Linked DNA regions of Oryza sativa Japonica Group. The main gene of each other region encodes a partner of the protein of the gene in region 2 in a complex. Links are inferred from orthologs where the notes say so. Each region holds a gene or a part of one and is shown on either strand. Other genes may lie near its edges. The genes, in order: condensin complex subunit 2 and structural maintenance of chromosomes protein 4.

The links.
Region 1: structural maintenance of chromosomes protein 4 (region 2) and condensin complex subunit 2 share a complex: the UniProt entries of both Arabidopsis thaliana proteins name them as parts of the condensin complex. The link is inferred for Oryza sativa Japonica Group from reciprocal best matches to the Arabidopsis thaliana genes SMC3 and EMB2795.

The regions. Positions count from the first base shown.
Region 1 is NC_089035.1:19,821,171-19,823,681, forward strand, and holds part of condensin complex subunit 2, read left to right. Parts: coding exon 1-32; intron 33-113; coding exon 114-370; intron 371-445; coding exon 446-476; intron 477-1,454; coding exon 1,455-1,597; intron 1,598-2,497; coding exon 2,498-2,511. UniProt on the Arabidopsis thaliana protein: Regulatory subunit of the condensin complex, a complex required for conversion of interphase chromatin into mitotic-like condense chromosomes.
Region 2 is NC_089039.1:24,530,179-24,534,573, reverse strand, and holds the start of structural maintenance of chromosomes protein 4, read right to left. Parts: upstream 2,925-4,395; 5' UTR 2,589-2,924; coding exon 2,454-2,588; intron 1,298-2,453; coding exon 1,208-1,297; intron 628-1,207; coding exon 526-627; intron 441-525; coding exon 264-440; intron 85-263; coding exon 1-84. UniProt on the Arabidopsis thaliana protein: Central component of the condensin complex, a complex required for conversion of interphase chromatin into mitotic-like condense chromosomes.

The DNA.
Region 1 (2,511 bases), on a different chromosome or scaffold from region 2:
ACCTGAGCATTGGAAATATCGAAAAGCTAAAGGTACTATGGGTACATAGTCCTGTTTTAGTTTTGTTTCAGGCAGGCTTGTTTAATCTAACCTTTGGGCTTACATTCAACTAGATTTGGACCCTGTCCCAACTAAACCTGATGATTCAGACGCCCCAAAAAAGACAAAGAAGAAAAGAGGCAAGGATGAACCTGACATTGATTTCAGCAAAGCATTGGAACATGATATGCCAAATATCTTTGCACCTCCTAAGAATTCAAAATCATTGCTGCTGCCGGCAAATAGGGCTACCAGCAATAACAAACTTCCAGAGGATTGCCATTATAGACCTGAAAGCCTTGTTAAATTATTCCTTCTTCCGGATGTTTTGGTAATGGCAATTTCTTATAATTTTTTTCTTGATATGGATCTGGGGTGGTTATAGTAACTATGGATCTTTTTGTAGTGTCTGGCTCGGAGAAGGAAAAAACCACTTGGTAAGTTTTCTATGTTCTTGCATTGTGTATTTCACATGAAGTTTTCTTGTTGCCTTGTTATTATATCTTGAAGTCCTGTTGTAAATTCTGAAGGTTCTTAAATTATTTATCACATCTTCCCTGTTCATATTACCTGTGTTACTTTCCTCCAGCTCCTTTTGGTATTTGATATATGGGTTAATTGGATTCATGCCATTGCAAATTTACCGTATTAGAAAAATACCACTACTATTCGTGATATCGGCTGAGTGCCATTATAATTTTGTAAAATTAGATCTATGCCATCACCGTTATATTTTCTGTCAGACTCTCCTTCCTTTCTTCTCCTCTCCTTTTTCTTCCTCTTCTTCCTCTACCTGCTCCTTCTTCTCCCTTCCACTGCTATTTCTGCCACTGCTCCTGCTCCTGCCCAGGACGTGGACAGCGACCACCACCAGCAGCAGCTCATCTTCCCCATCTCTCTCCACTGCTATTGCTACTGCTGCTGCTCCTCCCCAAGAGGCCAAGGCATGAGCGGTGACCACCACCAGCCGATATGACGAATAATAGTGGCATTTTTCTAATACAACAAATTTGTAATGGCATGGATCCAATTAACCCTTGATATATTGGTAAGTTCATATTGCTACTTAAATACTTAAACGAAACAATCTGTGAATCGTATGATGTTAGAGTATTATTATCTGAAACTGTGGAATGCAAATAAGTATAAAGTTCAGGACTGGGTTTATTTATAGAGAATGCTCTGCACAACTCCAAGAAAGGTGGTAATGTGATACTTATGTTGGCTATTAGGTAGCAAATTGACTTTCCCTTTTCAGAGAAGAACTTTACTATTCTCATACTAGATTATGTCTGTTTGCTAATGTGTGGCAAGTTGATGTATGTATGGACAGCCTTTGTTCTTGTTAATGCCTTTCTATTTATATAGAATTGTTTTCCTACATTTGTTAACCACAGAACACCTTTGTTCTCTAGTAGGTGGTTCAAGGGAGAATACTGATGACTTCATCCCATCTGAACCTTGGGATGGTGATGATTTTTGTAATGATCATGTCGATGAAGGAAATGGTGATACCGATGTAGAGGATGCAGTAGATCTTATTACCAAACCAAGACAGGTGCGCTCCTTTTTTCTTTTGCCTTCCCTTGTTAGACATTTTGGTTTTGTGTGCTTATATTGGAGTCTGGTTCTGTATTGATATTTCGATGGGCGCTCGTACAAAGTTGCAATTGACACCATTTGAAATACTAAAGCTGGTTAGATCTGAATGTAGTAACTAAAAAGCACTATAACATCAGAATAACTTTACACAAAAGAAATTGTGTAAACAGAATGCAGAGATAATAGCTACCTTTCTAGTTTTCTAGTTCTTGAACTAGACAGGTAGCTATATTTTGGGATGGAGGGAGTAATTAATTCAAGCTTTAACATTATGTATATTGATGTCTGTCCCATAAACTTTAATTTGTGGCCTCCTAGAAAGCAGAATCACATGCCCATCAATATATGTTAAATTTATGCCAAGTCAGTGCAGATTTAACTCTTATACTTTGGGTACTGAACAGTCCCTAGAGTTCTGTTATATTTTCTGTACGACAAATGGTGTTTTGACTCCCCTCCAAAAAAAAGGAGGGCGTTTTGACTTTTTGCAAATGTATAGGGTTTACATGCCTGATCTGGCTTGACATGAGTTGGCTGTTCGTAGTGGTGGACATCTATGCTGCTGATTTTTATGGCACAATAAATGTATCCAAACAAACGATAAAAGTGTATCTTGCAAATTTATTATGCATTTACACCTTACCTATACTCAGGAGCTTCTATTCTTGTGAGCTTAGAATTGCTGACCTTTCGACAGAGTGCTCTGCCAGAGGACTTACATGAAAAAACTAGTGATCTGAATAAATTATTGTAATGTGTTTGAGTTTTTAAGATGACCTTGTTTTTTTTTTAATGTTACTAACTTACTTGGCCTGGTAAAGTCTGAATTAATACCTGTTTCCTTCCTAAATCAAAGGTCAACAAGATTGA
Region 2 (4,395 bases):
GATGTCTTCCAGATATTCTAGAAACCCCTCATCATGTGGACCTTGAGATTTTGGTTTCATCAGGGAGATTTGTTCAACCTCACCCTGAAAGTGCCCAACTTGGAAGTTATGCAGTGCAAAACCATAAAATATAACACCATATGGATGTCTGTTATATCCCTCATAGTCATGTAAACATACTAAATAATATGCAACATATGTCCAAAATTAAACTTACAAAACACGCGCATTTTTCATGTGTAAATGGAAAAAGAAACACAAACCTGAAGGATCAAAAAGCGATTATTATCAAGGTCAACTCCTTTGCCCTTCAACAGTTTAGTTACTTCAGTGAAATTGCTTCCACGGTCGTTTATGTAGTATTTAGAAGTGTTGTCACGGAAAGCAACTCTTGTGATGATAAAATCACTGCCCTCAACAGCCCTGTAGTTCCCATCATCCTATGATGGACATAGAGGGAGGGAAATAAATTATGTGGCACTAGCTAAGCAATATGAAATGCTAAATACTTGGCTCAAGAAATACCAAATCAATGATTTCTTGAAAATGGACGGAGACCCCAGCACTGTCTAGATTCTGGTGGTTAGAAGAATTGTGTATGAGTTCTGAGACCTTGTTCAGGCGCATCTACAATGATGGAAAACTGGTCAGAAACAGTCTATGATTTGAAACAACCTAAATAGGTTGTTCTGAATTAAGAAAATATGGAGTAGCTAACAAATAGCAAGATCATCTCTCAAGAGCTTAAGTTATTCGTGAATTTTATAGCATTTAATCCAAAACTTTTAAGGAAAAACCTTTGGAGGAAATGGGCAATAGTAAACAGGAAATACAAGGGCCCCATTGTATTCAAGTATTAAATACATTTCTCTTCAATAACTAGTTTACTATCATGAAAGTACCATTACACTAAATTCTCAAAAACCTTTGGGCAGAGACTTTGAAGCTTACTTTTCGCCTTGCATACAAAATCAGTAACACACTAACAAACATAAAGTAGCAGTTTGTTGCCCAGCCTTTAAAAACATTGGGAATAACTTACACTTACATGCCAACTTTGGCATCTAGCACTCGCTGAATGGATAAAAAAATACAATGACTTTTTGAGATAGAATAAATCAATGATTAGCTTAAATCTGCCACTGAGCTGACCAGAAAAATGTTGAACATCAATAAACATTTACAGTTAGGAAGCAATATTGCCCACCTGTTTTGCACGCTTCCCAAACACAAACAGCATCGCATCAATGACATTGCTTTTCCCGCTGCCATTTGGCCCAACAACAGCTGAGAAACTCTGAAAGCAAGAAAAAGCGGTTATTCTTTTATACGATGCATGGATCCTAGCGACAGAGTGGTAGACCTATGTTCATAAGAGCTTGAAGCATAGTGCACTCATCGATAGTACCTATAAACAGTTTATAATGATATTCTGCACAGAACACGATGGTTACACACACAAGAATTGTGAATTCTGCACAGGTCACCATAAAAACACGATTATAAAGTTAGACGGCATTTCTGGAATGTAAGATGTGTTACTACTCACAAATCATAGTCATTTGGCCACTTAAATTGATGCACTTGAAAATCAGTAAAATTTAAAATTATGATAAACGTTGCTTTCCTTATATCTTAGGTACTACAGAACAAGTGAAAGTTAAACTGCAGAAACGACATTCTGAGGATAAAAGAGTTAGGTCTGAAATTTCAACGTATGAAAGGGCAAATTCAGATAGAAGCCATAGAACTGAATAAGGAACCTCCATTTCTGGGTAGAACAAATGCCATTAAACCATGTGACTTACTCTTCATAATAAAATATCTCCAAACAAAACAAAGTGAACCCAAAACATACTACTGATGGAGTATGACCATGCCACTCTAAAGTTTCAGAACAAATGTAAAACCAGTGCACAACTCAAAAACCTCCACTCTAATCTAACATTCGTGAGACCAAAACTAGACCAACAAATTCAGAACCTAATAAACAAAACGTCACATAGGTTCAGAACCTAGTAACAATGCGCGTATCGGTATTTCACTTCATAAACTAGAGGCCAGGCAGAACGGCCACACTGAAGATAACACGAATTCCTAAAAATGCTATAACACGGTTTTTAACTTATTTAGGATTCTGTAGGCACTGGGAAATGGAAAACTCAAATGAAAGTATACGTGGTCACCTCCTACGCTATCACAATTGAAGTTAAATTGCTATATCCAACTGCCGTGCCTAGGGTTCAACGATCGTACAGGTCAAGTAAAAAAAGCAAGCCCACCACATGACATTGCAGCTGGAGGGTCCTGAATAGCGCCAAAAACAAACGAAAACCGGGGATTGGTAGTGGGGGAATACGTCATCTATGACTATGAGCGCGACGAATTAAGATATACTGTAGCTAGCTTGCGCGCTCGTGTCGTGTGCTTGCGAGTGAGAGAGAGAACGAGACCTTGTGGAAAGGGCCGATGCGCTGCTCCCCTGCGTACGACTTGAAGTTGCGGAGGACCATCTCCTTTATGAACAGCCGCGGCCTCCCCGCCCTCCCTGGCGAGGGCGCGGGTGACCTCGGCGGGGAACTCTCCATGCCTGACCGCAGCAGCAAGGGAGGACCGGACCGCGAGAGCCGCCGCCGCCGCCGCCCGCCCGCCGGAAGATCACTCGCCCAGCAAGGGCGGCACCGGCTGAAGGGGGGCGGCTCGAGGACAAAGGCGACCAAGCGGTGCGCAACTCGGGACGACGGCGACCGCGCGCGCGCAACTCCGAGCGACGGCGACCGGGCGGCGCGGGTGCTCCGGGCCCGACGAAGGCCGCGGCGGTGGAGGCGCGCAGATCTCGGGCCGTCGGCGGTGGAGGCGGAGGCGGTGGCGGTGGGGGGATTTTGGGGAAAAGTCGAAGCGGCCGAGAGGGGAATGTGGGATTTGGGAATTTTGGGCGAAAATTTGGGAGGGAAAACTGAAACGGCGAGAGGATTTTCTTCCTCCCGCTTCGAGCAAATGTGTCAGACCAAAAGGAAGACTCTGGAGTTGGGCTGGATTACGAGCGATGCGCTGCTTTCGTGTGCGAACTTATATGGGGCTCATGTTGGGCTGATTTCTGGTCGGCCTTCTGCTTCGGAGAAAGTTCACTTCAGGTTCCTCTTCTTGTCATCGAGTTTTGAAATTGTCCATGAATTGGAAAACCAGATATAGCACATCCCTAATATTATAAAACTGAGGCATATTAAGTCCCAAGCCAGTATTGATAATGATTTTAGTTGATGTGGCGGCTGAGTCAGCACGGAACCCACATGCCAGTGGCCCAATCTTCTTCTACCTCTCTCCGCCTCTTTTCACATCTCTCTCCTAGCCTCCATGAGGTTGGTGGTGGGCGATGGCCGAACAGGAGAGGTGCGGTGAGTTGACGGGGCTGCAAGGAGCTCAGTGCGGAGGTGGCTTGATGCGTCGGCGAGCTCCCTACCACTGACACCACAACGCCTTGTGATTTCACGCGGCTATGATCCTTGCACCGCTGCCACCACAATTCACCTCTGGAGACACATCCTTTCTCTACTACTACGGTGGGTGTCCCCTCTCCCTCTCGTCGAAATTTTTCGGCCCTTCTCCCTCCATCGTCTCCCCTCACCACTGCGCGCGTCTCACTCAAACCATTCGCCGTCAAGGAGTACCTCGTCGACACCTGCGGCCTCACCCGAGCCCAGGTATGCAAGACTTCAGAGAAGTTATCCCACCTCACTACCAGGGAAGCACCATTGTAGCTGGAGACAGCAGCCCTACCTCAAATGGCTCTTCCGGCTTGGGGTGTGACATTGCAGCAGGAAAGTGGCTCAAGGTCGACGTCGCCCGAGTCATCGTCGTCGCAGAACTAGAGCGACATCGAGATGAGAGATAGTGGGTGCGGAGGTAGAGACAAGTGCTGTGGCAGTGGGCACGGAGGCGGAGGCTGGCCCGGACGTGGGCACTGCGGTGATGGAATCACATTAGGAGCGGAGGGAAGAGAGGGACGGTGATTATTTTTTTTATGACATGTGGGTTCAACACTGACTCAGTCGCCACGTCAGCAAACCGCTCTAAATATTGTCTTGAGACAATGAGACCCATTGTAACCCGGTTTTAAAATATTAGGGATACATTATAATTGGTATTCCAGTTTATGGGCGATTTTGAAACCTAACGGTAAGATGAGTGACCAAGTGAACTTTTTCCTTCTCTTTTTGGTTGAGATGCGCATGGGCTGTTCGGCCCAGGCAGACAGATAATACATAGAATGGCTTTAATAACGTCTTTACAAGCTAGTAATACATAGAATGGTCCTACAATATCAAAAGTGTAAACACCAACACTGTTTGGAACTTTGGATGATCTGAATCATTTATCTCACAATCACCCAGCCAT